2 linked regions of the Macaca fascicularis genome follow. The protein of the gene in region 2 purifies or fractionates together with the protein of the main gene of each other region. This does not show direct contact. Links are inferred from orthologs where the notes say so. Each region holds a gene or a part of one and is shown on either strand. Other genes may lie near its edges.

Evidence for each region.
Region 1: the proteins of SART3 (region 2) and TUT1 purify together in Homo sapiens (co-immunoprecipitation; 4 studies listed by BioGRID and IntAct, counting the BioPlex papers as one, with this or other methods). This does not show direct contact. The link is inferred for Macaca fascicularis from reciprocal best matches to the Homo sapiens genes SART3 and TUT1.

Annotation. Positions count from the first base shown.
Region 1 is NC_088388.1:11,466,534-11,472,134, forward strand, and holds the start of TUT1 (speckle targeted PIP5K1A-regulated poly(A) polymerase), read left to right. Parts: upstream 1-2,410; 5' UTR 2,411-2,471; coding exon 2,472-2,553; intron 2,554-4,716; coding exon 4,717-4,907; intron 4,908-5,601. Other genes in the region: metastasis-associated protein MTA2, read left to right, coding at 1-114. UniProt on the Homo sapiens protein: Poly(A) polymerase that creates the 3'-poly(A) tail of specific pre-mRNAs. Localizes to nuclear speckles together with PIP5K1A and mediates polyadenylation of a select set of mRNAs, such as HMOX1.
Region 2 is NC_088385.1:115,381,328-115,386,268, forward strand, and holds part of SART3 (squamous cell carcinoma antigen recognized by T-cells 3), read right to left. Parts: intron 3,998-4,941; coding exon 3,893-3,997; intron 1,005-3,892; coding exon 820-1,004; intron 210-819; coding exon 104-209; intron 1-103. UniProt on the Homo sapiens protein: U6 snRNP-binding protein that functions as a recycling factor of the splicing machinery. Promotes the initial reassembly of U4 and U6 snRNPs following their ejection from the spliceosome during its maturation.

The sequences.
Region 1 (5,601 bases), on a different chromosome or scaffold from region 2:
CCCAACTTGCCCCTGAAGGTGAAGCCAACGCTGATGGCAGTGCGGCCCCCTGTCCCTCTACCTGCACCCTCACATCCTGCCAGCACTAATGAGCCTATTGTCCTGGAGGATTGAGCACCTGTGGGGGAGGGAGGTGGGCTGAGAGGTAGAGGGTGGATGCCCAGGGCACCCAAACCTCCCTTCCCTTTCGTGTCAAAGGGAGTGAGGAGTAAGGAAGAGAGCAAGTGAGTGTGCGTCCCTGGAGGGGTTGGGCGCCCTCTGGTGTTACAACCTCGAGACTTGTCTCATGCCTCCATGCTTGCTGATGGAGGACAGACTGCAGGAACTTGGCCCATGTGGGAACCTAGCCTGTTTTGGGGGGTAGGACCCACAGATGTCTTGGACAGTTTTGGGGGGAGGGTTTTTTAATTTTTTAAAAATTTTGCCTCCCTTTGTGAAAGGGGATGGGGAGGGGAAGAGTAAACAGATAACAGGTGGTGGTACCTGGTTGGGGGAGGGGGGCGTGCACTGCCATGTCTTTTTTTTTTTTTTCCTAATTGGGGGTTTCTCTTTCTGTCCGGTGTCCGGACTATCCTAATTGGAGTTTGAGGCCCCTAAGCTGGCATCAACCCCAGGCCATGCTCGCTCTTTCCTTCCCTCCCCTCCCCCTCCGCCTTTTGTACGCCAGTTCTCAGAAATAAAGATCTTTTGTCCGTTTTTTTAACCTCGGATTCTGTAATTGGTTCTTATAGTAACAAATAAAAAGCTGTTTTCTTCAGCTTCTCCTGGCTCAGCTGTTCTTTGCCATGGGTGTGTGTTGTGTGTGTGTTGGGGGTGTCTTTGACAGGGAAAATAAAGGACAAAGGACAACAAAGGAGGTACAGATGGTTCTTGCCTTGGGAACAGCTTTATGAGATATGCAGCCTGGACCGAGGCGGCTTGCTCCAGCTAGCCTTCTTGTGGGATCCAAACTGCTCCCCAGCTCCCAGTGGTGATGGAGCCCAAGCACCATCTTGGCCCAGATTCCTTCAAAGGAGTTGAGATGAGCTTTCTGGATGACTGGTGGCCTCCATAGGAAAGGAGAATGGGGGTGTTTCTTCCTCTGTTTCCCACCTCTTACTCCCCTCTCCCTTTCACTTAAGGAATTCTGGAAGTTGCTGGCAGCCAGGGTAACATGTATACCACCTTGGTGGTGGTGATGGGGTTATAGGAGGATCTCCTCACCTAGCTGTGTGGTGTATTTGGCAGATGAGAATTCTACCATTGAACCACTCGAGCACCTCTGGGTGTATGTGTACAGCCTGCTGCTTCAGGATCCTCAAGGCCAGTCTCAGCAACTGCCTTGATACCCTGATCCACTGTAGCACCGTTTCCTGCCTGAAAGGTTTGGGACACTGAGATTAGATGCCTGAGCAGGGCCCATTAGAAGGAACACCTTAGGAGAGACAACAAGAAGTTCAGCCTACTATATGCTCCTTGGGCACTTCCTTTAGAGATGGGGAACAGCCTCGGCAGTTGTGACTCGCTCAAGGTCAAAGACCATGGTGTCTGCCTTCGGTCCACTGCTCTTTGCGCCATTCAAAGCTGTGGGCTGAGCCCATCTGAAAGTCCTCTCCACCTCCTTATGATCCCTGTCCCTAGGGCATCCCCAGCTCCTCTAGTCCCTCCCTGTACTGAGCCTACACCTCGGCGGTGTTGGGAGGAACTGACAATTATACCAGATGGGCTTTGACAGCATTCGCCCCCTCCAGTGTCTTCACTCAGTTACCGGTACTCGGTTTTGTCTTGTCGCACTGCTCTGGGGTACGCCAGTGGCTCTGGCTCCTCGGGAGTACACCACGCAGCCCACTACTGCGGAAGGAATGGGCCTGGCTCCAGGGACCTTGTGGAGTCCGGAAGGTGCCCGGTGGTGGCAGAGCTCCCCAACCAGGGCTAGAAGCAGTCGCAGAACACCCGTTTTGCGAGAGGACAGGGGGTGGAGGGAGGGAATAACAGCCCTGAAAAGGTTGGAAGTCCAGGAACAGCCCTGGGCTCCGTGGGGCAAAGGATTGGAAGCCGCCGATCCTCTGCCTTTATTCGTCGGGTAAATAAGGGTCGAGGGTACAGACACAAGGGTATCTACTGCGGGGTGAAGGAGCTGCAGCTAGACGCTACCCGGCGCCGGCCTTTGTGGCTGCTGTCATAAATATTCACGACGCTTTGGGCCAATCAACGCCTGAACAGCTTAAAGCACACCAATCGGCTTGCCGCATGCAGATAAGCATCGTAACGCGCGGCTTTTCCTAAAACGGGCGGGGACTCGACAGCGGCTAGGAACGGAACCCGGAGTCGAAGGAGCTTGGTTTCCGGAGGAGTGTGTCCGCTCAATTGGACGACTTATGTCACTTCCTATCGGACCGGCGGAAGTAGCTTCCGAGCGCGTTGAGCTTCAGAGAAGTGGGTTCCGGTCGTGGCAGAGGTGCTTGTGTTTTTGTCGGTACAGGAGAGTCGCTATGGCGGCGGTGGATTCGGATGTCGAATCGCTGCCACGTGGGGGTTTCCGCTGCTGCCTCTGCCACGTTACTACAGCCAACCGTAAGCGGTGGCTAGTGAGGGACCCGGGTGGTTGCGGGCTTTCGTCTTTTGATCCTGGCGAAAGTTAGGGTTATAGGTAATCGTTCCTGTCAGGTCGGTTGGTAGGGTCTCTCACCTGCGTTTTTACTCCGCAAGTCCGAGGGGATTTGGAGAGTCGGGAAAGTCCCACCACATTACACTCCTTCTCAGTATACGAAATCTCCACAACGCGTTTCATTGTTTTATTCCTTCTTTAACCATCATCTATTGGACATATGCTCTGTGCCTGGTATTCTGCTGATCTTTAGGGTGGGGGAAGGGGGTTCAGAGATGAAGGAGCTCACCGTTTAGAGATGGAGAAAGTTTCAATGCTTTATAGATATGTTTGGAGAACTGTGGGACCACAGAGAATCAATAACTAAATCAGAGAAGCCCTACAGAGGACCTACTCAAAGGCGGGGACGGATGAAATAGATGGCATGAATGACTAGACCATAAGATACCAGTGAGGAAGGGACAGAAGATGGGTTTGGAAAAATGGACAAGGTTCTTGTATGACAGAGAAGGGGTTCACTGTAACTTCAAATTCCACTTTTTTTTTTTTTTTTTTTTTGAGACAAGGTCTCGCTCTGTCACCCAGGCTGCGGTGCAGTGGTGTGATCTCGGCTCACTGCAGCCTCAACCTCAGCTGCAGAGTGATACCCCCAGCTAGCCTCCCAAGTAGTTGGGTCTACAAGCGTGTACCACCATACTTGGCTAATTTTTTTTTTTTTTTTTTTTTTGAGACGGAGTCTCACTCTGTCGCCCAGGCTGGGAGTGCAGTGGCGCCATCTCGGTTCACTGCAAGCTCCACCTCCCAGGTTCACGCCATTCTCCTGCCTCAGCCTCCCGAGTAGCTGGGACTACAGGTGCCCACCACCATGCCCGGCTATTTTTTTTATTTTTAGTAGAGACGGGGTTTCACCGTGTTAGCCAGGATGGTCTTGGTCTCCTGATCCCGTGATCCGCCCACCTCCGCCTCTCAACGTGTTGGGATTATAGGCGTGAGCCACCACGCCCGGCCTTGTCTAATTTTTTAATTTTTTGTAGAGATGGGGTTTCACCGTGTTGCCTAGGCTGGTCTCCAACTCCTGGCCTCAAGCGATCTTCCCATCTTGGCCTCCCAAAGTGCTGGGATTACAGGTGTGAGCCAATGTGCCCGGCCCTACTTTTGAAGTCTGGAATCACAATCTTCCCTAAACAGGGTCTACTTCCATTCTTCCTTTTCTCTGTGAATGGCACTATCACTGTTCATCCAGTAAGCCAAGCCAGAAACGTAGGAGTCTTCCTTGGCCCCACATTTACTTTAGTGACATCAAGCAGCTAACTCATAATAAAATAATAGCAATGGCTAGTTTTTCAACATTTACCATGTACCTGACTCTCTGCCAAGTGATACATGTGAATAATACCTGTGTGTGAGGTGCTAGATACTGTTATTTCCATTTTATATCTGAGGAAGTTGAAGCATAGTGAGGTTTCATGACTTGACCAAGGTCTCACACAGCTTGACAGAGCTGGGATTTGAACTTGGGCAATGTGATTTCAGATCCTGCCCTTGACATCACTGTATCATACCATGTCCAGAGATGATCCACGAAGTATTCTAGGATCTGAATTTTTTTAGTTCTTCTGTAGATGACCTGGATAAGTTACCTGTTAATTTCTTTCCAGCTCTACCTAGCACAAATAGGTGGTTTAAGAAGGACTTTACTATCACACAGTTCTTTAAGTAAAAATAAACGAAATACTTATAGTGTAGCCAGTTCTCCTGGGAACCTGTCTCTACTAAAAATACAAAAATTAGCTAGGCGTGGTGACACACACCTGTAGTCCCAGCTACTCAGGAGGCTGAGGCAGGAGAATTTGTAGAACCTGGGCGGCAGAAATTGCAGTGAGTGGAGACTGTGCCACTGAACTCCAGCGGGGGTGACAGTGAGACTTTAAAAAAAATTTTTTTTAAAAAGAATGTACTATTTAGACAAATGTATAAGAGAGGAAGGTGAAAGGAGCCAAGACTTTGTTTAGTCAAAGGTCACAGTTTCTGTGGCTTGGAAGGATCAGTAAGATTTAGGTATGCAGAGAGCAAAGGCAGACACGCTGAAGAGTGCTTTGGATGTTTTTATCTCACACTTGTCTTTGCAGGACCCAGCCTTGATGCCCACTTGGGAGGCAGAAAGCACCGGCACCTGGTGGAACTACGAGCTGCGAGAAAGGCCCAGGGACTTCGAAGTGTATTTGTCAGTGGCTTTCCCAGGGATGTGGATTCTGCTCAGCTCTCTGAGTATTTCCAAGCATTTGGACCTGTGGCCAGTGTTGTCATGGACAAGGACAAGGTAAAGTGAATGGCTCTCGGGGTAAAGAATGAATCAGGACTGGGTGCGATGGCTCACGCCTGTAATCCCAACACTTTGGGAGGCTGAGGCAGGCGGATCCATCCTGAGGTCAGGAGTTGGACAACATGGTGAAACCCCCCCATCTCTACTAAAAATAAAAAATTAGCTGGGTGTGGTGACGCATGCCTGTAGTCCCAGCTACTTGGGTGGCTAAGGCAGGAGAATTGCTTGAACCTGGGAGGCAGAGGTTGCAGTGAGCTGAGATCGTGCCACTGCACTCCAGTCTGGATGACAGAGCAAGACTCCATCTTAAAAAAAGAAAAAAAAAAAAAAGAATGAATCAGATGTGCTGTGTACCAAAGAGACAAAAGAGAGAAACCAACAGCCTCTTTGAGCTGGTTCCTAATGTGGCTTGTTCTTGATGGACATCACAGTATTTGGGCTTGGCCAACTTTGGGAGCTTCTCACACCTCCCCCGCCCTTTGAATTTTTTTTTTTTTTTTTTTTTTTTGAGACGGAGTCTCGCTCTGTTGCCCGGGCTGGAGTGCAGTGGCCGGATCTCAGCTCACTGCAAGCTCCGCCTCGCAGGTTTACGCCATTCTCCTGCCTCAGCCTCCCGAGTAGCTGGGACTACAGGCGCCTGCCACCTCGCCCGACTAGTTTTTTGTATTTTTTTTTATAGTAGAGACGGGGT
Region 2 (4,941 bases):
ACCTGCCTCACAGGATGGTGGGAAAGGTCTAACTACATGTCATTCCCCCAAAGTATTTTAAAAACCATAGAGGGCTGGCTATTGACATGTCAGTTTCTCTTACCATAGAGTGGGATCGCCAACTGTCGCCGGAAAAGACTGTGGACTTTCTCAAGCTGTGAATCAAAGGTTTGTTCCCGGTCAAAAGGGGAAAGGAAGCCAGCTACGGGCTAAAGAAGCAAATTAGTAGTAAATAACAAACTGTGGTTCTTTCTTTGTTTTTTCTTTTGAGAAGGGTTCTCACTGTCACCCTGGCTGGAGTGCGGTGGTGTGATCACAGCTCACTACAGCCTCATGCTCCAGGCTCATGCAATCCTCCCACCTCAGAGTCCTGAGTAGCTAGGATCATAGGCATATGCCATCACGCCCAGCTAATGTTTTATGTTTTGTAGAGATGGGGTCTCACTATATTGCCCAGGCTGGTCTTGCACTCCTGAACTCAAGAGATCATCTGGCCTCAGCCTCCCAAACTGCTGGGATTACAAGCATGAGCCACCGTACTTGGCCAACTCTGGTTCTTTCTACTTCAAAAAGTATCTCAACAAATTTTCAGTTCAAGCTAAAAAAATGTATACGACCTCTTCCATACATATTGAACCAAATGCTACAAGGGGTATAAAAAAGGTTATCTATCACCCAACCACTAAGGGATTGGCAAAGACCATTTTGTTAACTATATGAACTGCAAGATTCATCCTGGACATGTGTTTCAAAATAATCCTTCCAAGGAGACTTACAAAGACAGCCCCAGCCTGTTCAGAGACAACCACAGGTACTCACCCGAGCAGCTTCCACGATTGCACTTTCAAACTCTCGGTAAGCCTCCCAAAGGGCGAGTCCTTTGGTCATATGCAAACCAACAGACGAGAGAGCCCTTTCAAACACGGAGCGAACTTTCTCAAGGCCACCTTTCTGACCAATCCCACCAACTGAGTACTGGCCATACTCTAGCCAAATGTTAGGACCTAAAAATAAGAAGTGTTCAATTAGTTTGGGGTATAAAATACCCAAATATCAAAACTGATGCAAAACAAAAGAAATGTGCCTACCAAAAAAGTTCTCAGACAGCAGCACTAAATGACAGTGAAGGCCTAACAGCAGAGATGACCATAAAGGACCAAAAAACATTACAGTCTGGGGAAGACCATAGATCCTCAGAAAAAGATAACTGGTGCTATTAACAATGGCTGTGAGAGAGAAAGAAGTGGGTAACAGGATCATCAGAAATCATGGGAACACCATGCACTGCTAAAATTATCAGTGGTTCTAAAAGAAGACTCATGGGCCACAGAGCAGAGGTACAGATATAGTTTTTAAAAATACATTTGGCCAGGTGCAGTGGCTCACACCTATAATCCCAGCATTTTGGGAGACTGAGGCGGGAAGATCACAAGGTCAGGAGTTCGAGACCAGCCTGGCCAATATGGTGAAACCCCGTCTCTACTAAAAATACAAAAATTAGCCGGGCGTTGTGGCAGGCACCTGTAGTCCCAGCTACTTGGGAGGCTGAGGCAGGAAAATCGCTTGAACTCAGGTGAGGGGGAGGTTGCAGCGAGCCGAGATCACACCACTGCCCTCCAGCCTGAGAGCGAGACTCTCAAAAAAGAAAAAAAAGATAACACACACACACACACACACATACTATACTTGTATATTCATAAAACACCTCTTATTTTCATTATACAGATTATAAACCAAAAAATTGTGAATTCTTTTTGGCTTGCAAAGATACACAAAAAATTCTCTATCTCAGAACAGTCTATATGGTAAGCAGCAATGCTTCTCACAAGAGGGACTGCTCCCAGTGGGAAATCAACAAGGAAGAGGATATGAAATCTGAAAGGGGAAATTGTTTGTTTGATTTTTGAGACAGAGTCTCATTCTGTCACCCAGGCTAGAGTGCAGAGGCATGATCTCAGCTCACTGCACCCTCCGCCTCCTGGGTTCAAGTGATTCTCCTGCCTCAGCCTCCCGAGTAGCTGGGACAACAGGTGTGTGCCACCACGCCTGGCTAGTTTTTTGTATTTTTAGTAGAGATGGGGTTTCACTGTGTTAGCCAGGATGGTCTCAAACTCCTGAACTCGAGATCCACCTGCCTCAGCCTCCCGAAGTTCTGGGATTACAGGCGTGAGCCACCACCCCCAGTCTGAAAGGGGAAATTTTTAGAATGCCTTTTTTTTTTTTTTTCTTCTGAGACAGAGTCTCACTTTGTCACCCAGGCTGGAGTACAGTGGCATAATCTTGGTCCACTGCAACCTCTGCCTCCTGGGTTCAAGCAATTTTCATGCCTCAGCCACCTGAGTAGCTGGGATTACAGGCCTACATGCCACCACACCCAGCTAATTGTATTTTTAGTGGAGATGGGGTTTCCCCATGCTGGGCAGGCTGATTTCAAACTCCTGGGCTCAAGTGAGCTGCCTGCCTTGATCTCCCAAATTGCTGGGATTACAGGCATAAGCTACCAAGCCTGACCTTAAAATGCTTTCTTCTGAGACAGAATCTCACTCTGTTGCCCAGGCTGGAGTGTAGTAGCACAACCTCAGCTCACTGCAACCTCCACCTCCTCAGTTCAAGCAATTCTCCTGCCTCAGCCTCCTGAGTAGCTGAGATTACAAGCACGTGCCACCATGCCTGGCTAATTCTTGTATTTTTAGCAGAGATGGGGTTTTGCCATGTTGGCCAGGCTGGTCTTGAGCTCCCAATGTCAAGTGACCACCAGCCTCGGTCTCCCAAAGTTCTGGGATTACAGGTGTGAGCCACCACGCCCAGCCTTAAAACGCTTTTTAATAGCATTTTGTCCACAGCATTGTCTGATGTGGTCCCCAGTTCACATACAGAAAATATTTAAGACACTTATACTATATACAGGGCACAGTAAAGAGACTTAAAGGGAGGTGAGTCTTCTATACTCCACTTGCACCGGTAAGATGTCAATACCAGCAGGCAAGGGAGGTCTCTGTGGGGACAGAACGATTCTGTATCTGGACTGCAGCAGTGGTTAGATGAATCTACACATGTAATAAAATGTCTTTTTTTCCCATTGTTCCAAGGTCAATTTCCTGGTTGTTGTTCTTTTTTTTTTTTTTTTTTTTGAGACGGAGTCTCGCTCTGTCGCCCAGGCTGGAGTGCAGTGGCCGGATCTCAGCTCACTGCAAGCTCCGCCTCCCAGGTTTAAGCCATTCTCCTGCCTCAGCCTCCCGAGTAGCTGGGACTACAGGCGCCCGCCACCTCGCCCGGCTAGTTTTTTGTATTTTTAGTAGAGACGGGGTTTCACCGTGTTAGCCAGGATGGTCTTGATCTCCTGACCTCGTGATCCGCCCGTCTCGGCCTCCCAAAGTGCTGGGATTACAGGCTTGAGCCACCGCGCCCGGCAATTTCCTGGTTTTGATTTTGTACTACAGAAACAAGATATTGGAGGAAACTGGGTAAAGTGAGTACACAAGACTTCTCTGTACTATTTCTGCAACTTCCTATACTCTATAATTACTTCAAAATAAAAAGGTTTTCTTTTAATGTTTTCATCTTTTTTTTTTAAAGCATCTTGTCCAAAACCTCTAAAACCCTATTCAATGTATAAAAGATCACCAGGAAATGCCATGTAAGCTCTGTCAGTACATCCTGAGTGTGAGTGTACTCATTCCCTTACTGCAAGCGCTTCTTCCACTTTTATTTTAAAACTACACTTCCTCAATTAAAGAACAAAGACAATGACAAGACGATTGAACTTAAATCTTGCTAATTGTTAGACTAAAGTTCCCTTTTCTGGGTAGCAGCATCTCATAATACAGTCCTCAACAGCAGACTGATCTACATGACATTTTCAGATACCCTAAAAAAGTCCACGGGAACTTACAAATGTAATCCTTCACAGCTTTCTCAAAGAGGTCATACACATGCTCTCTGTCCAGGCCGTCCTGGGCCATGCTGATCTCGTCGTGCAGCCACTCCAGCCAGAGCTCTACGAGACAAGAGTACTTCCCGCATTAATACCAAAGGGGAGGCTGAGAGCAGGGACTTTACCAAGAAACATCAGCACGCCAATGCTTCATCCATCTTACACAACCTGGCATTGTTCCAGAAATTCACTTCTTAAAACCTGAACTAAGCACATAGGAGATTTTATGCTTCCAAATAAGATCAAATCACTAAAATCATAACATCCTCTACTTGTTAGGCATTTCATATTTGGCAAAGCACTTTTCTCATTCAGTCTTTATCATAATCCTGTAAGGTTGGTGATAGTAACACTAAAAATAATGACATCTATTTAAGGATTACAACATGCCAGGCATGTGTTAAGTGTTATAGGTAGAATAGCTCATCCTATTCTGTCATACATTACAAGGCAGAAACTACTGCTGCCATCATTTAACTGCTAGAAAAACTGAGTCTCAGAATGTTTACATAATCTGCTTAAGGTCACACAGATAGTAAACGATGTAGCCAGGAATGAATCTAGGTCATCTGACTCTAGCATCTACACTCAGCAGTTATGCTTTGCAGAAGGGAAAAGGGGCAGAGTGGGATCTAGGACCAAAGTGTCCTAAGCACTGCCCAAAAGATCACTTATGAATATTCATGAAGACTAAAGAGTTGTTCAGTGCAATTATGTTTCTAATACGCAAATAAGTAGAAATAACCTAAATGCCCAACTATTCTGGAACAATTAATGTATGAAACATTTACATAAAAAGCTGTCTGTAAAAGTTTAAATATATTTACAATTTTCTGGTTTCAAGAGAATGGATTAAATACATAAATACTGAAATGGGAAATAGAAATGGGATTCAAGTTTAATCACATTACAAATGTTTACCATAACGTTATAATTAAAAAATCAGAATTCAAAATCCGTGTTATATGATCATAACTACATTTTGCAAAAAACTACAAGATAATAAA